Linked DNA regions of Oryctolagus cuniculus. The protein of the gene in region 1 interacts with the protein of each later gene in a pairwise test. Links are inferred from orthologs where the notes say so. Each region holds a gene or a part of one and is shown in the gene's direction. Other genes may lie near its edges. The genes, in order: AKT1, CEP76, ARNT and PPL.

Region 1 (5,685 bases):
TGAGGCCCCGCCCTGCAGCTGCTGCTGAGACCGTGGTGCCCGGTGGCCCTCGCCTTGCCCACGGCAGCTGCAGAAGGGGACAGGGCGGGCGGGCGCCCCCCGGGGCCTGGGGAGCAGTTTTTGTTGGAAACATCTGGCCTTGGGGCACCTCAGCAGGCCCAGCAGTGTGGCCAGGGGCTGGGAGAGGAGGCGCCTGGGCAGGCTCACACGGGGGCAGCCGGGGCACCTGTGGGAGCTGGAGCAGAGCCCAGGACAGAGTGGAGGCAGCTGGAGGGGCCAGACCCCACTGGCCGGGGCCCTCGGGCTCCCTGCCTCCTCCCGGGGGTGGGCATGAGGCACCCTTCCTGGCAGAGCAATGGGCAGGCTGGACGGTCCCAGAGGGGCCCCGGGGGACCACGGTGAGGTCGCGCCGCGTGGGTGAGGGACAGACATCACTACCTGACAGGAGCAGCACAGACCAGCTCCGCCTCACCTGGGGCCACACAGTCCAGCAGGACGGCTGTGCTGGGGGGGCTGGAGACACCTGCTGAGGAGCGGGGGGGGGGCTGAAGACACCTACTGAGGAGCGGGGGGGGGCCTGGAGATACCTGCTGAGGAGCCGGGGGGGGGCTGGAGACACCTACTGAGGAGCGGGGGGGGGGCTGAAGACACCTGCTGAGGAGCCGGGGGGGGGCTGAAGACACCTACTGAGGAGCCGGGGGGGGGCTGGAGACACCTGCTGAGGAGCCGGGGGGGGGGGGCTGAAGACACCTGCTGAGGAGCCGGGGGGGGGGGCCTGGAGACACCTGCTGAGGAGTCGGGGGGGGGTGGAGACACCTGCTGAGGAGCCGGGGGGGGGCTGGAGACACCTACTGAGGAGCCGGGGGGGGGGGCTGGAGACACCTACTGAGGAGCCGGGGGGGGGCCTGGAGACACCTGCTGAGGAGCCGGGGGGGGGGGCTGAAGACACCTGCAGAGGAGCTGGGGGGGGGCCTGGAGACACCTGCTGAGGAGTCGGGGGGGGGCCTGGAGACACCTGCTGAGGAGTCGGGGGGGGGCCTGGAGACACCTGCTGAGGAGTCGGGGGGGGTGGCCTGGAGACACCTGCTGAGGAGCCGGGGGGGGGGTGGAGACACCTGCTGAGGAGCCGGGGGGGCCTGGAGACACCTGCTGAGGAGCCGGGGGGGGGGGCTGAAGACACCTGCAGAGGAGCTGGGGGGGGGCCTGGAGACACCTGCTGAGGAGTCGGGGGGGGGCCTGGAGACACCTGCTGAGGAGTCGGGGGGGGGCCTGGAGACACCTGCTGAGGAGTCGGGGGGGGGGTGGCCTGGAGACACCTGCTGAGGAGTCGGGGGGGGGTGGAGACACCTACTGAGGAGCCGGGGGGGGGCCTGGAGACACCTGCAGAGGAGCTGGGGGGGGGCCTGGAGGCACCTGCTGAGGAGCCAGCGGCCCCAGAGGCCGTGCTGGGCCCGCCAGCCCTGCAGCTCTTCCTGGCTGCACCTGCCTCGGTGCACACCTCCCAGCCCAGAGCCGACCTCTGACCCTGAATGAAAAACAAAAAATGACACCCCCCCCCAACTCACCAATCAGCTCTGGGCCTCTGGGGAGGGGCGGGGCGGTGGAGAGAGGCAGGGCTGGGAGTCTGCCGGGGTAGGGGCTGGCTCTGCCCGCGCGCAGGGCTCCGGGAGGCCTCTGGCTCAGTGACCGTGGCCTGCGCCCCCGCAATGCAGCCCCGTGGGGAGGCCCGCTCGGGCGCCGCCAGCACAGCCTTCCCCTCGGTGTCCCCTGGGTGTCCGCGGCCGGCTCAGGGCCGGTCAGCCCCGCGCCCCCTTCCTTTCCCTTCCACACTGCCCGCACCGCCCCCAGCGGCCACGAGTGGGGCCTTTAGGACTGTCGGGGCTGCGCCCTCCTCCCCTGGCCCCCACCAGCGGACGCAGGTGTCCCCGAGACCCGCATCGGTCCTGGGCCTGTTCCAGTGGAGTCCGCCAGAGCGCGGCCGGGAAGCGCCCGGTGCCTTTACAAAGAGGGAAACTGAGGCCGGAGGATGCGGCCCCCGGCCCGGCTGCCGAGCGGAGGCTCCGTTAGCGGGCCCGGCCCTGCCCCAGGCCGCCCCGGCCCGCCGCGCTCCTGGCGCCCCGCCCTCGCCGTCGGCCGCGCGGCGGGGGCGCCCGGGGCGGCGGAGGCGGATGTGGGCGGGCGGCGCGGGCGCGGGGCGGGCGCGGGGCGGGGAGAGGGCGGGCCGGCGGCGGCGGGACCGAGCGCGGCGGGCGGCCGGCCCAGCGCAGCCAGCGCGGCCCGAGCGCGGGAGCAGGCGCCGAGCACCGAGCGCCGCGGGCACCGAGTGCGCAGCGGGCACGGGCACCGGACCGGCACCAGGCGGCGGCGCGAGTCCGGCCCGAGCAGCGCCCGCCGCGGCCTCCCGCCGGCCCCGCCCAGCGCCGGCCCGCGGGGATGCAGAGCGGCGGGCGCCGGAGGCCGCGGCCCGGCTAGGCCCCGCTCGCGCGGACGAGGCGGCCCGGTGAGTCCCGCCGCCGCCGGCCGCGCCCCCGCGGCCGAGCGCTTTGTTCCCGGCGGGCCGGCGCGGGCCGCGGCCTCCGGCGTGGAGGGCGGGGGCAGGAAGTGGCCGAGCGAGGCCTGGGCGTGGAGGGCGCGGAGCGGGCGGTCGCGCGGGAGGCGCCCCAGCCGGCGCCCGGGTGCGGGCCGGCGGCCCCGGCCTCCTCGTGACCTTGGGGAGGCCTGGGCCCGGAGGAGGGGCGCCGCAGGGCCCGGGGCCGTGGGCAGTCGGCCAGCGAGGCAGCGGGCCGAGGCTGTGCTCCGAGGGGAGGGAGAGGGTCGCGGACCACCGGCCTTCAAGTTCTTAAGGGGTGGGGTCGGGAGGCCTGGGACAGAAAGCTGTGGGCGGCGGCTCCGTGCCCAGGCTGCCCCATCAGGGGCCTGCGTGCCTCGCGGCCGGGCTGCTTCCTGTTTGGAGTGGGCTGTGGAGGTGCTGCCAGCGTCCAGAGGCCGGGCCCGGGTGTGGCCAGGGCGCCCGGTCAGCTGGGGGTCCTGGGACAGCTGGCGAGCTTGTCCCCGGCTGGCCTGGCCCCAGACAGCTGCTCTTGCCTGCGCTGAGCCCCCCACCCAAGTGCAGGGCCTGGTGCCCCCTCCCGGGAGAACACCGCAGGGCCGAGGGGCTCGGTCTGCAGCGGCTGGGACTTGAGGAGCCATGGCGGCCTCAGTGGCGCGTGCCGCGGGAAGTGGGGTCCCCGTGCCGGCTTCTGTGTGGGCTACGCCACGCTGCGTGCTCTCGGTGATGGCCAGCAGCAGGCCTTGGGCGGAGGCTGGGGGGCTGTCCAGAGGTCTTTGCGTCCAGCCCTCTGCCTCGGCCACGCCCACGAGGTCCCAGCGCCCTGGCCTCGAGGTGTCTTCCCCCAGGCACGCTCACTTCCCTGCGGCCCTGGGCCTCTTCCTGGTGTGGCCTGGACACGGGCTGTGGGGCCTCGGCACAGCACAGCGTGGCCCTGGAGGGCCAGAGAGGTGGCCTGGCCGGAGAGCCCCCAGTGGGCCGCATCCCCGGCCGTCCTGGGGGGCGGTTCTGCCTGGCCTGAGGCCCCCAGGGCTGCGCTCCCGGCAGGCCTGTGCCAGATGCTTGTGCCTGGGGTGCCCAGAGCCCGGGAGCTGGGCATGGAGGGTTGCGGCGTCACGGCAGCCACCTTGTGAGCGTGGGGACTGTGGCTCTGTAACTGCCTTATGCCGGGTGCTGCTCCCCAGCAGGTGTGAGCCGTTCTGTGTGCCCAGCGCCCGGTGTGCGGCCTGGCACAGCCGAGATGCCTGGTACATGGGCCGGAGAATGCCGTGGAGCCGGGGGGGGGCTCTTCCTGGGGAGGTTTCCCTGTCGCCCGAGCTGCACTGCTGGGGAGGGGCCAGAGCGCTGAGTGAGACCCCCCACCCCGGGGATGGGAGGGCCAGCTTTGTACACGGGCTGGGGCCCAGGGCACGCGGAGGGGACCCGTGGGCCGGGGCCTGGGGGCTCACACCTCACACTCGCTTGCTTCTTCCAGAGCCTCGGGCCGGGCCAGCTGGGGCCAGGAGAGCCGTCTGCGCTGACGGCGCGTGCGGCCGGAGCCGGGCACCATGAACGCCGTGAGCATCGTGAAGGAGGGCTGGCTGCACAAGCGAGGTCCGTGTGCGAGCTCCGCGGGGCGGGGCGGGGCGGGGTGCGGGCGGCCGGCCGGGCAGCACCGGCCCAGCTCCCCCACAGCTGCCAGCCCTCCCGGCTTTCCTGGAAGGCGAGGGCGGTGCAGGGCCCCACACGCTGCCTGCCCGGGGCAGTGCCCAGGGGCTCCTTGGCCTGCTGGGAGGGGGGCTGGGCGCTCAGAGCCCTCCCGCGGGGGAACTCTCCCGCAGGGGAGCCCCAGACCCAGAGAGGGCACCGAGGGCCCACGAGGCGGACGGCAGTCCCCACAGAGCAGGCCCAGGCCCAGGCCCCGGGGGGCAAGGAAAGAACCCAGACGAGAGGCCAGGGCCGAGGCTGCGCCCCGCTGTTTGCGGGGGAGTGGGCGCCGGGCAGCAGGGGTGGGCTGCAGGCCCACCGGAACCCCTTGCCCGTCTTCCTGCCAAGGCCCCCACCCCGCAGTGCCACCCCGGGCGTCCCACCTCCCCAGCCAGCCGCTCTCCAAGCCTGGGCTGCCGTCTGGTCCCTGGGACTTGGGTGTCAGTCCTCGGCCCCGGGGTGGCACTGGCCAGCTGGGCTCGGCCGCAGTGGCCTCCATGGTGTGCCTCTGCCAGGGGCTGGGTGGGGACGGCCCGCGGGGCAGCCAAGAGAGGGCTTGGACCTCACCCTGTCCATCAGTCAACTGCCTGGGCCTCCGTTTCCCTGTTTCCAGGGGTCAGGGTGGGGCTGGTGGAGAGGAGAGAGTGGCTCGTGGGGTCCAGCCAGCCGGCACCCTCCCGGCCCTGCTCGCAGCCTCCTCCTGCTTCCACAGGTGGACATCGCGCCCTGGCCTGCCCTCAGAGGCGCCCCCGCCCCGGCCCCTTGGGGCCCGTCGTGGCACTCGGCACCGGCAGCACTGTCTTGGCTCCAGCCCTTTTGCCTTGCCTGGGCTGAGGCCAGCGGGGCCGTGTTGGGCTGACCCTCCCAGTCTGTACGTGCTTGGGCCTAGCTGGGGGCGGGGAGGGGGTGCCCCAGTGACTCCCCACCCCTCTGTGTGGCCCGGGGGTGGCATGGGCCTGGCCCTCTGCCCAGTGTCTACCCTTCCGCACCCTGGGTCCTGCCCAGGGCCTGGAGCTCCTTGCTTGTTGGCTGAGCCCAAGGCAACCGTCCCACCATGGCTGCCGTGGCCTCTGGGGGCTGGGGTGGGTGCAGGAGGGGCACGGGTCCTAGGTGTGCTTTGGGCTGAGGCGCTGGGGCCCGCTTGGCCCTGCGTGGACCCAGCGTGGCTTCCCGTCTGGGACTGAGTCCCAGAGACACGGGGGCTCCCTGGTTTTGAAGGTTGGCTGCTGCTGTTTTGTTTTATTGCTTTATTTTATTTTAGAAAAAACATTTATTTATTTATTTGAAAGGCAGAGTTAGAAAGAGAGAGAGAGCTTCTATCCGCTGGTTCACTCCTCAAATGGCTGCAACAGCTGGCGCTGTGTGGATCTGAAGCCAGGAGCCAGGTGCTTCTCCTGGTCTCCCATGGGGTGCAGGGCCCAAGCACTTGGGCCATCCTCCACTGCACTCCC
Region 2 (5,839 bases), on another chromosome or scaffold:
AGAACCCACAGACGCAGGCGGGACCTTGGAGTCCCTCGGCGCGGGGTCCTGAGGGTCCGTCCAGTTCCCTGCCGGGCCGGAGGGAGGAACGAGGCCGCCGCGAGGACTGGGAAGGGAAACGGGGAGCTCTGTTGGGAGACCCTGGCCAGTCCCGGCGACGGGGCGAGCAGAGGTTGCGGGGTGCGGGCCTGCGAGAAGGTGGCGCGGCAGGCGGAGGGCATCAGGCATCGCGGGGGACAGCCCCGAAGCCTGTTGGTCCGTCATTATTTGAAAGCAGTTGGCGCCGCCAGCGCCTGGGTTCCCGCCCAGCTTCGGCCCTGACGCGGCGTCGCGCCCCCCCCCCGGGGAGCTGCGCGAAGCGAGCGGCCGTCGGTGCGGCTTTTGTGCTCCCGCTGCGACTAACGCTCCCTGGCCGGGCCGGGGTGCGCCACACAGCTAGGGCGTCCGGCGGGGAACAGCGGTGGAGGCGCTGGCCGCCAGCATGTCGCTGCCTCCGGAGAAAGCCTCGGAGCTGAAGCAGCTCATCCACCAGCAACTGAGCAAGGTGAGGGCGGCGCGGGCCGAGCTGGGCTCTCTTCGCTTGTCTTGAGGCGTCCCCCGCCCGGCGGGCTCTGGCTTGGGCCATCCCGGGCGCCAGCGCGGAGCGCGGGGCAGCTAAAGCTTCGGGTTTGAAGCCAGAGCAGCCTGGTAGCGGCGGTGAAAGGGAAGAAGGCGAGAGGGAGTGCTCATGAGACTGGGAGGCGATGGGACCGTTTGGGTGGTAGGGGGCAGCCGAGCGGTCTTCCAAAGTCACGTCGGATGTACTTTCAGAGCCGAGGTGGCTTTAGGGCGAGACGTGGGCTTCCTCGATCCGAGAGCCAGCAGCTCCAGCCAGCACAGCCCAGTAACGGAGGGGACGTGGCGGAAGGACTTGGTAGGGGCGCAGTCGCCTCAGGCCGGGGCTTTTGCGGCCCTCGCCGAGGGCGACGCGTGAAGTAACAGAAGTCGCGGTGCGTGCGCGCCGCACTGGCCGCCGGTCAGGGCGTCCGGGGTCTTGTCCGGGAGGACGGAGGACCCCAGCGCCTGAAGACGTTAGCTCCGACCTGCACAGCTGCTGCGATCCGCCTGTTCCTGCGATTCCATCCAGCATTCCCTATGGAAAGACTGATTTGGTTTGAGCGGGATTCCGGGGGGGGGAAGCGGTCACAAAAGTGGGCAGGCGGTAGACGTCATTTCTAGCCTTTGTCTCCCAGAGTTGCATCTCGTGGAAGCTGGCGGTGATTCTCACTCAGCTGTGGTAATGATGGCCCGTTCGCGGCTAGCTCTAGAGCCCTGACTCGAGGAGTAATGGCGTTGTCGTGCGGGTTTTGTGCGCAGATGGATGTCCACGGCAGGATACGGGAAATCCTCGCCGAGACCATACGCGAGGAGTTAGCGCCCGACCAGCAACAGTTATCAACGGAAGATTTGATCAAAGCCCTTCGACGGCGAGGAATCATTGATGATGTGATGAAAGAACTGAATTTTGTTACGGTGAGTACTCTGGGGTCTGTAAAGAACATGCCTGGGCGTAGTTACACTGTTGACAGGGTCCTTGGTGGGAGTTTCTCCTTTGAGCGAAACCACTGGAAGGCCCTCCTGTCTACCAGTGTCCTTATTTGCCTTGTAAGTTAGCTCTACCCTTGGGTAGCACACAAATAGTGTGAGTCAGCGAGATTTGGGTTATGTAGACTGTCTTCCTCACTCTGCAGTGACAAGGATTCTCTCTTGTAATTCTCTAGGTCTTTTAATTATGAATATACATATTTCAGTCACATTAGTTCACCATAAAACTGTTCTTTTTTCACTAAGATTGCCCTACAGTTGCTTTAGGTTAAGCTTATTTTTAAAATAAACACTCTTTGGGACTCCGATGAACAAATTATAAATGTCCTCAAGAAAATAATTGACTGCACAAAGACTCTCCAGTCTTTACCTACAAATAGGTCAGTAGTGAGATGCTGGCCTCTCAAGGCACCATTAGGAAGTAGGCCCTCTTTTGAAAATGAGGCAATAATGAAAAACTGTGACCTCAATACCTGGATAATATGTGAAAATTGGACAGACTTCATAATACATCAGGGAATAAGTATTTTAATACAGCATCCTTTTTTGGTTTTTGAGGTTTATGAACCCATTTGTTATAAAAATTGGCCTAATAACAGCTTTTGCTGTGTGAATGTCACTTCTTTATTAAAATCAGTAACTGTTGGAATTGTAAGCCAAGTGTTACATCAGGTATAGGGAAAGTTCAAGCTTGTTTAAGGTTTTCAGAATTGCTTTTTACATTCTGTGGATGGCATTCCTTGAAGATAATTTTTACACCTTAGTATTAGACATGAATAGTGACCAGTTGCATTATCTTTCATTTTCAGTATTTTGATTACACTATGAAAAGGGCTTTTTTGGGGGGTGGGAAGAGGGCCCTTATCCTGTCACCTTTCTGTTTGCTGTTTAGTGTCATGATTGGCATTTTCTTAATTTTTTTTTTTTCAATTTTTTTTTTTGGCCTTTCCAGGACAATGTTGATCAAGAACTCCCTTCCTCTCCAAAACAACCTGTTAGTTTTGATAGACAGTCAACATTAAAAAAAAGTATGTATCTGTTTTTTAATAATAATTCTGTTGTATAATGAATATTGATGTGCTGTAGTGTTTGGTATTTGATAGAAAACATTTCTGGTTTTTTCCCCAAATATTTAAATTTTTGTGGTTGGCCTAAAACTTAATTTTGTTTCACATGAAGTATATCAGAAAATTTAATGTGCAGTATAGTAGAAGCAAAAGCCAGCACACTGGTTTCTCATATTTTAATAATATACTTTATTTAAGATTGTACAGCCTTGTTATTTTAATGATAATTACCTTACAAATACATTTGCTTAATTTGTAGTTGCCTGAGCTGGTTTATGGAGGTGAAGGGAGATTTAATAAGCAGCTAATAAAAAGCAAACTATAGTAGACTTTGGGCCACTCTAGCTGGGAGAAAGTGGACAGAATGTAAACTCCGAAAAGAATGTCAGATTATGTATCTTTTCTCCCCAGGGTGCAAATGATTCTGGTATATAGTAAATTTGTTACTCTTTTTCTTCTTTTTTTAGTCTTTGATGTTATTTCTTTCAAGTTGTTGTATCCTAATGTCTTGATCACATTCCTTAAATTATTTGGCAGTTTCCTCATGTATATTGCTACACTTTACAGCTAATATTGATCCAACACGGAGGTATCTTTACCTTCAGGTTTTGGGTGGAAAAGCTTTCTTGGAACATCTTCAAGAACCTGAGCCTTTACCAGGACAAGTTTGTTCAACTTTTACTTTATGCTTACATTATCGAAACCAACGTTTTCGTTCTAAACCTGTTCCATGTGCCTGTGAACCTGATTTTCATGATGGCTTTTTACTTGAAGTACACAGAGAAAACTTAGGTAAGGAACGTAATAGTCACTTAATGGAGTGAGCTTTTATTAGGTTTTGTTGCAGAGTTGCTGTAACAACTTCTGCTGTTGGGAGATTTACAGATTGAGTCATTTGGCCTAGTCTTTTTATTTTTCCGCCACTCTTATTTTAACGACTTCTGTGCACCTTCTGCTTTATTCTGTGTTTGCTAATTAATTATCCCTAAACGATTATTACTTTACTCTTAATTTTGGTTCTTTACTAATAATCCTGTGAGATGCCTGTCATGTGCATGGTACTATGCTAGCAGGTGCTGAGGACATGAGAGAATGAGACATGATCCTTCTTGTATATGAAGGATGACTAGATTTGTGATGTTGTTATATTTCAAAGGTTTTTGTTTGTTTTATTTTGTTTTAAATTTTACTGGAGAGTTAGAAAGAAAGCCATAATAGTAAAGAGCTCCCATCTGCTAGCGGGTTTACTTCCCAAATACCTGAAATGGAGCGGGGGCGTTGATGTGGCTACAGCCAAGAGCTGGGAACCCATCTAACATGAGTGGCAGGAACCCAACTTTTCCTTTCTTTCTTTTTTTAAATTTATTTATTTACTTGAAAGTCAGAGTTACACAGAGAGAGGAGAGGCAGAGAGAGAAAGAGAGAGAGAGAGGTCTTCCATTTGCTGGTTCACTGCCCAGTTGGCCACAAAGGCTGGAGTTGTTCCAATCTGAAGCCAGGAGCCAGGAGCTTCCTCCAGGTCTCCCACGCGGGCACAGGGGCCCAAAGACTTGGGCCATCTTCTACTGCTTTCCCAGGCCATAGCAGAGAGCTGGATCGGAAGTGGAGCAGCCGGGACTCAAACTGGTGCCCTTAGGGGACGCTGGCACTGCAGCTTGGCCTGGACCAGCCCTGGCTATTGCAGGCATTTGGGGCAGGAAACCAGAGGATGGAAGATTCTCTCCCCTTCTCCCTTTCTTTCTCTTTCTCTCTCTCTTTAAAAGTACTTATTTAAAATATATGTTACTACAAAAAAAAGCCATCAAATATGTTAAGATTAATTCTTAAACTGTCCTTATTCATTTATCTTTAGAAATTATCACTGTATTATCAACACAAAACTGAAAGATTTAAGCTCACAGTTTAGCAATTCACCCCATAAATTACCTTTTTTAAAAAATACCTTGTTAGAAACACAGTGTAAAACAATTACAAGAATCATATATTATAATTCTTTTTTATTTGAAAGGCAGAGAGAGAGAAAGAGAAAGAAAGGGAGAGGGGGAGAGAATCTTCCATCCTCTGGTTTCCTGCCCCAAATGCCTGCAATAGCCAGGGCTGGGCCAGGCCAGGAGCCCAGAATTCCACGAAGCCAAGTAATAAGAACTCCATCAGGTTTCCCACAGGGGTGGCAGGGACCTATGTATCTGAGCCATCACCAGCTATCTCCCACGGTGTACATTAGCAGGAAGCAGGGTTAGAAGCAGAGCAGGGACTCAAATCCAGGTACTCTGATATAGGCTGCCGGTGCCTCAGCAGGCAGCTTGACCACTGTACTATAATGCCCGCCCCTCATAAATTTTGACATTACAAAAGTAAGTTACATATTCACATCTAAACTTCGACTTTCAGGGGCAGGAATTTAGCCTGGTAGTTAAAATGCCAGTTGGGAAGCCCACATACCATATCAGAATGCCTGGGTTTGTGTCCTGGCTCCACTCTCGAGCCTAGCTTCCTGCTAATACACCCCCCTGAGAGAAAGCAGACAGTGGCTCAAGAAGTTGGGTTCCTGGGGCTTATTAATCTATTTATCAAAAAGCACTGATATGGTTTAAGTAACTAGATTACTTGACAATTCCGCCAGTTTTCTCAGAAGCTAGTGATGGAACTAGGAGTGTACTTGTATTCCCAGGCTTGTGATATGCTTTCTGAGATATTACCAAATTAATTCTATTTAGTTTCATATATGTTTATTATTTAGTATATTTTTCAATAAAAGTAGTTTTATGTTGGCCTAACAATATGTAATATGATGTAACCTTCTGTTTATATTGTCAGGTGATGGAACTAGAATGGCTGATTCAACAACAATGTTGTCAATAAGTGATCCCATCCATATGGTGCTAATCAAAACAGACATATTTGGTGAGACCACTTTAGTAGCATCCTATTTTCTGGAATGGCGATCGGTTTTGGGCTCAGAAAATGGAGTGACCAATCTAACGGTGGAACTAATGGGTGTAGGTATGATGATTAGTATCACTGTTATCTTTATATTCATAATTTCTTCCAAAATTCATTTTCTATCTTTAAAATGGCTCTTAGACCAAGAGGAAAACCTATAAAACAGAATTTCACTGGAATTACAGTTGGTTTTCAGTCCAGTTGTAGTCTTGGGGAAGGTCTCAAAGAATAATATTAGTGTAGCA
Region 3 (5,223 bases), on another chromosome or scaffold:
ACAGGTACAGGGGCCCAGAGTTGGGCCATCTTCTATTGCTTTCCCAAGCCATAGCAGAGAGCTGGATCAGAAGTAGAGCAGCCAGGACTCAAAACTCATATAGAATGTCAGCAATGCAGGCGGCGGCTTAACCCACTACGGCACAGCACCGACCCCAAGGCTTAATGGTTTGCAATAGCCTCTGGACTCAGTCTGCTGGAGTTAGTTTTAGTCCATAGTATTCTGTGGTTTTTAATTCTTAGCTTCATATATCTTCTGAAATCTTGGTCAGATTACAAGCCTACTTTGTGCTTTGATTTTATCATCTAATGTTGGAAGTAATACTGATACTAAACTCACAAAGTTATGAGGATTAGATGAATTAATATATGTGAAGATATTTAGAACAGAGCATGGCATATATTAAACAGTAGAAGTTTTATCTACTGTTGTTATTTTAAAGAAATGAAAGAGGGGGTGGGTGCTGTGGCGTAGCAAGTAAAGCCGCTGCCTGCAGTCCTGGCATCCCATATGGGCGCTGGTTTGAGTCCCAGCTGCTCCACTTCCAAACCAGCTCCCTGCTTGTGGCCTGGGAAAGGGTTGGAAGATGGCCCAAGCCCGTGGGGCCCTGTACCCATGTGGGAGACCTGGAAGAAGCTCCTGGCTCCTGGCTTCGGATAGGCGCAGCTCCAGCCTTTGCAGCCAGTTGGGGAGTGAACCAGTGGATGGAAGACTGACCTCTCTGCCTTTTTTTCTCTCTCTGTGTGGTTCTGACTTTCAAATAAACAAATAAAACTTTAAAAGAAAAAAAAAAGAAATGAAAGAGAGAAAGTTGAGTTGAAGGGACCATTCCAACATATGGCCATGGCCAATGCAAAGACATAGGCAAGAGAAGATAAATAGCCTGAATTAACAAGCCACTGCCCTTCATTTGTAAGAAAGTTTTATTGGAACTAGCCATGCCCATTTGCCTATATATTGTCTTTGCTGATTTTATGCTATACTGCCAGAATTGCCTAGTTACAATAGACTAGACTGTATGATCTACAAAGCTGAAAATATTTACACTCTAGTCCTTTACAAAGTTTGCCAACTCCTGATATAGAGAATCTTTGCATTTGGAGAGCATATAGAATATTTTTTACTTCAAATTTTAGAACAGTTATATTTTTGAAGTACCAAATGTGACTTCCATTATCCCTCCTTGGTGTTAGGAGCATTGTTACCAATTTTCTGTGTCAAGATGCATTTAAAGCCTGTTACCGTACTTCACTAAAGAAGGTTCTTTCAGGAGACCAGGAGGAAGCACCTGGCTCCTGGCTTTGGATCGGCACAGCGTGCCAGCCTTAGCGGCCATTGGGGTGAACCAACGGAAGGAAGACCTTTCTCTCTTCTCTCTCACTGTCTAACTCTGCCTGTCAAAAAAAAAAAAAAAAAAAAAAAAAAAAAAAAGGTTCTTTCATTGTGCAAGCTGACTGCTTTGCATCTCTCTGCTCATTGAAACAGGTGTGGCAATAGCTCCGTGGACCCAGTCTCCATGAATAGACTGAGCTTTGTGAGGAACAGATGCAGGTGAAGTCCTAAGCAGTGAAAACCAAAGGGGTAACCAAAGACCCAACAGAGCATAACTTTCTCACCTGACTTACTGTAATACTTCCTTTCGTAGTCCTCACCCTCTTCCCTCGCCTCCTAGGTACTTTTTTCTGGCAGTATTTTTCTGAACTTCTAAAGTTTTTCTTGTTTTCCTGTTAAAGGAAGTTTACTTACTGTTTTGCCTGCTTTTCCTTGTGCTGTAGTTCTTTTCAGTTGTTTTCCTTTGGTAATGGTTGAAATTATGGTGGTTACTTTCGGGTGGGAGAGGTCCCAGCACTGATTGTCCTACTTTCAAAAACCAAGACTCTGAAGTTGAAGTTCCCAAGCCAGCATTGTCCTTTAAGAAATTTCTAGGTATGATTTTTCTTCTGACTGATACCACTCTTCTAGGAATGGACTTGGCTCTGTGAAAGATGGAGAACCTCACTTCGTGGTGGTGCACTGCACAGGCTATATCAAGGCCTGGCCCCCAGCAGGTAGGAAAGTTGGATGGTGATTCTTTTCGGTGCGTTTGGTTCCTCGCCAAGTCTAAGAAAGTTATATTTATTATGTGTTTGGTGTATGAAATGTACTTGGATGGAACCTGAAAGAAACAGCAGACCCCTTCACATACACTATTGAGCTTGTATTCCACTTGGGGAGATGATATACTCAGATTTGAAAATGTCTCACTAATGGCTGTGTCACAGCATAGTTTTTAAATGTACAAAATCATAATTATATATACTGAATACCTATGCTTTTAAGCAGTGGTTACTAAAAATCATTGGGATTATTCACTTGAGAAGTCTTTCTAAATTAGTTACAAAACTTTGAGGGAAATGGTGAAAATGGTTTGATTGTAGTAATTAGAAGGAGATGCTCTCTGCAAGGGCCTTAAATGAAGTTTTAAGCTGATTAGCTTTATTAGAACTTGAGGTCACAGAGATTATAAGAAAGGTGTTTTTTGCTGGGATCAGTTTGTTTTTTTTTGTTTGTTTTTTTGTTTTTTGTTTTTGTTTTTTGTTTTTTGTTTTTTTTTGACAGGCAGAGTGGATAGTGAGAGAGAGACAGAGAGAAAGGTCTTCCTTTTGCCGTTGGTTCACCCTCCAATGGCCGCCACAGCTGGCGCGCTGCGGCCGGCGCACCGCGCTGATCTGAAGGCAGGAGCCAGGTGCTTCTCCTGGTCTCCCATGGGGTGCAGGGCCCAAGCACTTGGGCCATCCTCCACTGCCTTCCCGGGCCACAGCAGAGAGCTGGCCTGGAAGAGGGGCAACCGGGAAAGAATCTGGTGCCCCGACCTGGACTAGAACCCAGTGTGCCGGCGCCGCTAGGTAGAGGATTAGCCTATTGAGCCGCGGTGCTGGCTGGGATCAGTTTTTTTTTTAAAAAGATTTATTTATATATTTGAAAGGCAAAGTTACAGAGAGGCAGAGGCAGGGAGAGGGAGAGGGAGGGAGGGAGGGAGGAAGGGAGAGAGAGAGAGATGTCTTCCATCCACTGGTTCACTCCCCAGATGGCTGCATCAGCTGGAGCTGTGCTGATCTGAAGGCAGGAGCCAGGAGCCTCTTCCAGGTCTCCCACACAGGTGCAGGGGCTCAAGGACTTGGGCCATCTTCTACTACTTTCCCAGGCAATAGCAGAGAGCTAGATCGGAAGTGGAGCAACTGGAACTCGAACTGGTGCCCTTGTGGGATGCCGGTACTGCAGTCGGCGGCTTTACCCACTATGCCATGGCGCCAGCCTTGGTGGGGGAATCAGCTTTTTAATTGACTTTTTTTTTTTTTTTTTTTTTTTTTTGGACAAGCAGAGTGGACAGTGAGAGAGAGAGACAGAGAGAAAGGTCTTCCTTTGCCGTTGGTTCACCCTCCAATGGCCGCCACGGCTGGCGCGCTGTGGCCGGCTCACCGCGCTGATCCGATGGCAGGAGCCAGGTACTTACCCTGGTCTCCCATGGGGTGCAGGGCCCAAGCACTTGGGCCATCCTCCACTGCCTTCCCGGGCCACAGCAGAGAGCTGGCCTGGAAGAGGGGCAACCGGGACAGAACCGGCACCCCGACCGGGACTAGAACCCGGTGTGCTGGTGCCGCAAGGCGGAGGATTAGCCTAGTGAGCAGCGGCGCCGGCTTAATTGACTTTTAAGAGTTTGCAAGCCTTAGAAACTTTTTACTTCCCTGCTAGTTGGGTGTCACTGTGAATTAAGGATTTGGGTAAGACAGAAACTAAGGAAAAAAAAAAAAAAACAGGCAGCAAGGTTTTATGTTTAGAAAAGACATTCAACTTTGGATTTGGAAAAACCTGGGTTTGATTCCTGGCATTGCTATTATTATTGCTATTTATTAGTGATATAACCTAGGATAAGTTGCTTGACTTTTATAAACTTCTCATCTGTACTTTGGAGAGAATACATTCCATAGAGGGTTATTATGAGGATTAGATTTAGTGTAAGGAAAGCATCCAGCCCAGTACCTCATATATGGTAGCCATCAATAAATACTAATACAAAAAAATACCAATAAGTGGAAGTTAATATAATTAAGGAAAATATTTTAAGGAATGAGGTAATGACATCTGAACTTTGTGATCTTTGTATTGCATAAAACATAGTTTAAGGTACATAAGATCTTTACTTCTTTTGTGTAGCTATCAACAGAAGTACTATTTTTGTGAATAAAAATAAAATAGCTATGCAAAGAATAAGGAAGAATTACATTCTTCTTCACTTTCCCATGTAAAATATTATTTTTCTCTTTTCCAAGGGACACAAGTAACTCTTAGTGTTTGGCATAAATTCATTTTTGGTTGTTTGCTTACTTCAGATCACAGGTTGGGCAAGACATCTGTTCTCTGGTCACAGAGGGGCTGCTTCACATGTGTTTGATTTAGCTAGCATAGTGTTTGGAATACCTCGAGTGAGCCTTATAGTCTTTAATTTATTATAGTTAATATGGCTGAAATATATGAATTTATGTATATATTTTATATCATGAGTAGCACATATAGTAAATTTTATGTAATTGTACCTTTATTTTTAACATTCTCATTTATCATTCTCTCATGCAAAACATTTGAGTCTGAGAGTTCAATTAAACTTTTTAACCTCACCTTCCTGAAGGTGTTTCCCTCCCGGATGATGACCCAGAGGCTGGCCAGGGAAGCAAGTTTTGTCTAGTGGCCATTGGTAGATTGCAGGCAAGTGTGAATTTTCTACATTTACATCCCTTTTAAGTTAGAAAAAATCTTCAGGACTTGTTCAGGTTAATTTTCTTTCATTCTCTGAATACAAGTAAAGAATTCTGTAAGACTCCAAAAATTTGAAGGAATATGACATTCATAGTAAATGTTGGTAATCTTGAGTTTAGCATAAGTTGGAATATTGCGGGGGATGAGGGGGAGATCTTTTCCCCTTATCTTTCTTGTGTTTAGCTTTATAATATTGAATTTTCTATTTCTGATGAATTTCCTTTGTCTCTATGCGAAAGAAGAAATATCCTTTTCATTATATCATTACATGACTGACAATAGAGAGGTGGAATTAGCTTGATTCTTCTCACAAGTATAGATAAGTTTCTTGGTTAGTTGGACCTTAATGATTTTTTGATCTGGGTAGTGAGCACAGCCTAAGCAGGTGAAAGCAGATTTTTAAAAAAATTATTTATTTTGAAAGACGGA
Region 4 (5,916 bases), on another chromosome or scaffold:
ACTCATTCTCCTGGGCCTGGCCCCGCTGAATCAGCCCGAGCTGGGCCAGTTGCCCTGAGCCTGCGAGTCGGGGCCACAGAGGGTGGAGGTGGGCAAGGGTACAAGAGCTCAGGCGCTGGAGCAGGCTGACCAGGTACCAGCCCAGCTGGGCACTGGGCCTCGTGCCCATCCCTGGAAAGCGGGAGGACACAGCAGCCTCCTCCAGACGAGGCGGGAGTAGCTGGGGAGAATCAACCAGTGCAGACACAGAGACTGCCATGCTGCCCGGAACGAGCCCTTGGCACCCAGGGAGGGGCGCCCGTGACCAGCGCCCTGGCCGGCACCCAGCGGCTGAGTGCCAAGCCAGCTGAGCTGCCAGCCTGCGTTCCTTGGTCCAGTTCCCCTTCCAAAAAGCGGCCTTCACTTTCTAGGAGTTGTGAGGAGAGGGGACTTGGCAGTTCAGAGATGTCCAGAGTTTTGACTCCATCTGGAGGTCCTGTGATGGTTTGGAGACTCCTCCCCGTTGCCCCCACCCCAGTCCTACAAGCCGGTGGCCTGCAGCTGCACACGCCTCCCCCTCCCGTTCACAGAGGCCCTGCTAATGGCCAGGGGCCGGACTAAGGGACCAGCACACAGCGCCTCACCCTCGGACGTCGATGCTGTGTTTGTGCCCATTTCACAGAGGGAAACGGAGGCCGGGAGAGGCATGGTGGCTCACCTGTGTTCACACAGCTGAGAGGGTCTGAACAGGGATTCAAACTCAGGTCTGTCTACGCTGCCTGCTCTCCTTCCCCTGTGAAAATGCTGATCTTTCCCTGGCCTCTCCAGAGGGGACTCGAAGGTGACCGTGTCTCACGAATCCTTGCCCACGTCTGCCGCGCATTTACAAGCAAGTGGCATGCCCGCCTAGTTTCTCTCTCTCCCTCCCCCCAACACAGAGCGGGCATCGTAGACCCTCTCCTTTGCCCCTTGCTGTGGGCATCCACTCCACGTGTGGGTCTAGGCACACCGTCCGCACAGCTGTGGCTGCTTGTTTAACCTACCCCAGGGGTGAGCAGCTGGTTTCCAGAAAATCTACAAGGTTGCAGTGAACAGTCAAGGCAGACTTAGCACCCACACCAGTGCCCACCTGCCCAGAAAGGTGGGAGGGGGAAGAGTAAGGAAAGGGTCTCTGGGCACGGGCAGGGGAGGAGCAGAGCAGGAAACAAGCCCCCCGCTGTGGCCCATGGCCTGAGACTGAGCTGGGCTTTGGTTCTGGTAGCTGCAGGCCGCCTGTGTGCTGCAGCCCTGGCTCTTCTCTGACACCTGCCCCAGTGTCAGCTGGCTGGTGGGCGAGTCCCCAGGGTGCCCTCAGACCTAGGGAGGGGAGTCTCTTCAGAACGAGGGGTTGCTCAAGGCCTTACCTGCCCCACCTAGGGCAGCACCTGAGAGGGAGGCCAGGCAGGGCCGAGGTGGGGGGTTAGGTTTGGCGAGAGGTCTGTGCCTGGGCAGTAGCTGGCAGGGTCCCTCCCTCTTGGCTTTTCCCAGTGAGGTCCAGGACCGTGGGGGGATCTTGTCAAGTGATCAGACTCCTGAGCCCTTCTCCCAGGGTATGAAGGCCTGAAATCTGCATTTTACACACCCCCACACACCCCAGGCGCCGACGCACAGCAACTAGAGCCACTGTTCTCAGAGAGGTCCCCTGGCTGCACTCAGGGACGTTCCCAGACGTCTCGCATTGTCCTTGATCCTAACGAGGCCACCAGGCCCCTCAGCAAAGTCTCCAGTCTGAGTGTTCTGTTTTGCTTTTTTTTTTTTTAAGATTTATTTATTTATTTGAAAGTCAGAGTTACATAGAGAGAGAAGGAGAGAGAGAGAGAGAGAGAGAGAGAGAGAGGTGTCTTCATCCACTGGTTCACTCCCCAATTGGCCACAACAGCCAGAGCTGCGCCAATCCAAAGCCAGGAGCCAGGAGCTTCTTCCCGATCTCCCACACGGGTGCAGGGGCCCAAGCACTTGGACCATATTCCACTGCTTTCCCAGACCATAGCAGAGAGCTAGATCGGAAGTGGAGCAGTCAGGACTTGAACCGGCACCCATTTGGGTAACTGAGGCTAGGGGCGCTGGAACACGCACGTCGCCCAGGGGTCTCGGCCGACCCAGTGCGGAGGCAAGATCCGCACGTGGGCAGGGGCGTCCAGTGCCCCCTTTGCTGGGACCCACTGGCCATCCGGGTCGCACAGACACCGACAGCGGCCCTGTGAGGGGCGGAGCGGGGGACTGGGGACTCCAGATGCGGGTCGGCCGGAGCCGGAGCAGCGCCCGCGCCCAGAGCACTCAGGGCCCCCAGTCGGGGGGCGCGCAAGTCCCCGCGCGGAGGGCGGGGCCCCGCGCGTGCGGAGGCGGCCCGGGCGTCCCCGCCCCCGGCCCTGCGGGAGCCCCTCCCCGGAAAGGTGAAGCGCCACCTACCCGGGGAGCGGCCGCGGAGCGAGTGGCCGCCGGGCGCCCCGCCCCCGCGAGTAGTGCTGGGGTGCCGAGGGCGCGCAGCACTCGGGGCCGCCCGCCCGCCCGCGCCGCCGCCGCCGCCGCTCACCTGCACCCACAGCCCGCCCTCGGTGCGCGCCGGCCCGCCCGGCCCCCGCCGCTCCCCAGCGCCACCATGAACTCACTCTTCAGGAAGAGAAACAAAGGCAAATACAGCCCCAAGGTGCAGACCCGCAGGTGAGGAGGCGCCGCGGGGCGGGGGCCAGCGCCGGGTCCCCGAGGGGTCCCGGGGCTCACGGGTCTGGGAACCGAGCCAAGAGTGTGGGACGCGAGGGGTCGCTCGGCTGGGAAGAGGATGGGGTGGCATGGGCGAGCGCGTCCGAGGGGACACCGCTTGTGGCCCCCCGGGGTCCTCGGAGCGCAGGGGGCCTGGCTTTGAGGGCCTAGGGGGCGGGGAATTGAGACGGGGGTACCGGAAACCTGCGCCCCCCGGGCTGCTTTTGAGTCGGGCTGGAGACTGCGGCCGCAGGGGGCCCGAAGGCCGGGTCTAGAGGGGGTGTGCTGGGCCGGAGAGCGGAGCTGGGCTTGGAGGGCGCACACCTGCGGGTCTCGGAGCTCGCACAGGTGCTCCTGGCGTCGGGCAGGCTGCAGGTGGGGGTGGCGCGGGGGCGGGCCACCTGCTAGGCACTTCCCCGCACCTGCCAACCTGCGCTCGGGAGTCCCGCCCCGCCCCGAGGCCCTGGAGCGGAGGGCACAGGCCCGGCACCCTCTTGCTTGCCCGGGGAGCGCCAGGCAGGGCGCTGCGCGGTGGCTGGGTGGCGTCGGGCCGCCGCGGCCCTTCTTAGGGGTGTGGCTCCTTCCCCGCCCCCTCCCCCAGCCCCGAAACTGGCGGCGGCTCTGAGCGGCGGGTTCCCAGGGAGGCCTGGGAAAGGAATGACATGTCTCGATGTGTTTGTGCGCACAGGCAGCCCACGTCCGTTTTGATAAGCCGAATGCATTCGCTTAATAACCGGTTTGGGGAAGTCGGGGCAATTCTGAGATGAGGGAGGGGGAGGGAGTTGGCCCTGCCTTCTCCCCCTCGAGGGAAAACGGGGTAGGGGCGTTGGGTACAGAGATGGAGGCAGGCGGGGAGTAGGTGACCGGCACAGCCTCCTGGCTTGGGGTCCCCACTCCTCCTGCTGCCCTGTGGAGTCCCTGCAGTGCCGGGGGCGGCTCCTTATTCCCGGCAGGCCTCTGATGGCCCAGTGCAGGCGGGAACTCTGGGCTCGCGTCCCCCCCCCCCCCCCCCCCGCGCCGCCCCTGCCATCAGCCTAGGCTGACCTGTTTGGCAGGTGCAGGCAAGCCTGGCCCTCAGTTTCCTTCCGTTCCAGCATCCTCAGACACCCCAGGAGTCGGGATCCCACCCACCCATCCCATAGCTCCCATTCCAGATGTTTGAAGCTCAGAGGCATCCCCCCCCCCCCCGCCCCCGGTTCCCTCCTGTCTGTCACAGCCTCAGAGGCTGGGCAGGGCCCTGCGTGCTGTTCCTCCCTGGCCGTCCAGCTGGCTCTCATACCTCTCTGGGGGCCCAGCCAGTCGATGCGCTGTTCTCTCGGGCATTGCACAATCCTGTGCTCTGTGCCAGCCCCACACAACTGTTCTGTCCTCGCCACCACAAGACCTCCACACCTGCAGGCACCCCCACTCCAGGAGCTGGGCCAGGCTGCCCCTCATCCCCCGCAGCCCGCATCCCCAGAGGCCTGGGCTGGACCTCACACGGGTTAGCGTGAGTTGAGGCAAGTTGGGAGGGAGGCACCCCATCCCGCTGAGTGCGTGGGGCGAGCACTGACCGCTCCCTCCCTGCACTCCTGGCCAGAGGCAGCGCCCTCTGTCCTTGGCTTGCAGACCTCAGCTTGGGGGTGTCTGTGCAGGAAGCCTTCCTGGTTCTCTCCCAGGGTGGAGTGGAAGACCCTTGGTGGGGCTGCCGTGGCCTTGTGTTACCTGGCCCTGAGTGGGATGGCAGCCCTGTGTGCGGCCGGGTCTGCCACATCCTCTCCCAGCCCTGTGCATCCCTCTGCCAGGAGGTGGGGGCAGCCCTGCACCCCAGTCTCCCTCCCTTCAGCCTACTCCACGCTTCACCAGCCCTGTAACAAGCAGCCTGGGGCACCTGTGGCTCTAAGCTGTGTTCTTTCACCCTTAGTTTTCTGGGGCTCTCTGCCATTGAGATTCGGCTTGGCGGGGCGAGTGGGAGCTCGGGCCCAGGAAGCGGGACTCCCGGCTCCTCACCCTGGCTTTGCCACCTCCCCGGACCCTTCCCGAGCCTCAGTTTCCATTTCTGCAAAGCAGCGAAGAGGACAGTAAGAATCTGTCGCTTGGAGTCTCCGAGAGCAGCCTTGCCCTGGCACACAGGAAGTGCCCAGGTCAGGGTTGTCATCACATCCCAAGCCGGGGCACCTCCCGCCGTGAGCCCCAAGCCCCGTTAAGGAAGCCGCCCCTCCCTGCCAGCCGGGAGGGCCAGGACAGGGTGTGAACCCGTTGCTCCTGTCACCCTGGTTCCTAATGACAGGTGTGGGAGCAGGTGTTCACACCTGCGATAATGACAGGTCCCAGGGAAGCGTCCTGCAGGGAACCAGCTCCCACCCTCCCGGCTGTGTAACCTGGGACGGAGTTGGTCCTTCTGAGACTGTTCTCTCCCACCTGTAGCCTAGTGCCTGCCCGGAGTGCTGGCTGAGGGTTAAAGGAACGGGTGGAACGGGTTGAGGACAACAGGCAGCTGGGGTGATGGTAATTAGGGACTTGTGTGGATGTGTGCATGGGGCTGAGCTGGATGCATGGTGGGCAGGCTGAACGTGGAGGAGTCACTGACCGCTGCCTGCCTCTGAGTCGCTGGCGGGCACATCAGGGCGAAAGGCTAAGGTTAAGCTCACATGCACTGGTGGTTCCCTGACCCTGGAGACTCATGGGTGGGGCTGGGGACACACAGCAGGACAGGCTGGGTATCCAGGCCAGCTGTCCTTGTGCTCTGTGACCGGGCTGTGCTGTCAGGGTCAGCAGAGACCAAGGAGGCTGTCCCCAGCGCAGGGAGAGGTCTGACCCATCCTGGCCAAGGAGGGAGGGGCTGAGATGTGGCTCTGACGTCAGACTGCCCTATGTGTCTGTCTGACTCGGGCGGCACTTGGTCTCGCCACACCAGGTGAGCTTCCCCGTCAGCAAAATGGGACCCGTGGCGCCCCCATGTCCCCACGGGGGTCCTGGTGAACACCCAGCAGCCTGGCAGGTCTTGCAAGATAGTGCCGCCCTAGCGGGAGGAATCCTGCATGAGCAGCAGGGCCCCTGGCTTTGGGGTGCTGGCAGCCACCCCGGGTACCCTGGGCCTCTTGGTGGTTAGAGCGCAGGGTTTGGTGCTAGCAAAGTGTGAGTTCCAGCCCCAGCTGCGCCTCTGCTAGCTCTGTGACCTTGGGGAGGTCACTTCATGTCTCTGCCTCAATTTCTTCA

Evidence for each region.
Region 2: the proteins of AKT1 (region 1) and CEP76 interact in binary tests that used the Homo sapiens proteins (3 or more experiments, as listed by UniProt). The link is inferred for Oryctolagus cuniculus from reciprocal best matches to the Homo sapiens genes AKT1 and CEP76.
Region 3: the proteins of AKT1 (region 1) and ARNT interact in a protein complementation assay, tested with the Homo sapiens proteins (2 studies listed by BioGRID and IntAct, with this or other methods). The link is inferred for Oryctolagus cuniculus from reciprocal best matches to the Homo sapiens genes AKT1 and ARNT.
Region 4: the proteins of AKT1 (region 1) and PPL interact in a two-hybrid assay, tested with the Homo sapiens proteins (2 studies listed by BioGRID and IntAct). The link is inferred for Oryctolagus cuniculus from reciprocal best matches to the Homo sapiens genes AKT1 and PPL.

The regions. Positions count from the first base shown.
Region 1 is NC_091451.1:46,983,073-46,988,757, reverse strand, and holds the start of AKT1 (RAC-alpha serine/threonine-protein kinase), read left to right. Parts: upstream 1-2,360; 5' UTR 2,361-2,500; intron 2,501-4,022; 5' UTR 4,023-4,095; coding exon 4,096-4,141; intron 4,142-5,685. UniProt on the Homo sapiens protein: AKT1 is one of 3 closely related serine/threonine-protein kinases (AKT1, AKT2 and AKT3) called the AKT kinase, and which regulate many processes including metabolism, proliferation, cell survival, growth and angiogenesis.
Region 2 is NC_091441.1:69,557,136-69,562,974, reverse strand, and holds the start of CEP76 (centrosomal protein of 76 kDa), read left to right. Parts: upstream 1-1,946; 5' UTR 1,947-2,034; coding exon 2,035-2,256; intron 2,257-2,536; coding exon 2,537-2,612; intron 2,613-3,188; coding exon 3,189-3,443; intron 3,444-5,468; coding exon 5,469-5,654; intron 5,655-5,839. UniProt on the Homo sapiens protein: Centrosomal protein involved in regulation of centriole duplication. Required to limit centriole duplication to once per cell cycle by preventing centriole reduplication.
Region 3 is NC_091438.1:47,241,845-47,247,067, forward strand, and holds part of ARNT (aryl hydrocarbon receptor nuclear translocator), read left to right. Parts: intron 1-1,485; coding exon 1,486-1,551; intron 1,552-1,962; coding exon 1,963-2,048; intron 2,049-4,666; coding exon 4,667-4,743; intron 4,744-5,223. UniProt on the Homo sapiens protein: Required for activity of the AHR. Upon ligand binding, AHR translocates into the nucleus, where it heterodimerizes with ARNT and induces transcription by binding to xenobiotic response elements (XRE).
Region 4 is NC_091450.1:30,734,380-30,740,295, forward strand, and holds the start of PPL (periplakin), read left to right. Parts: upstream 1-2,236; 5' UTR 2,237-2,251; coding exon 2,252-2,679; intron 2,680-5,916. UniProt on the Homo sapiens protein: Component of the cornified envelope of keratinocytes. May link the cornified envelope to desmosomes and intermediate filaments. May act as a localization signal in PKB/AKT-mediated signaling.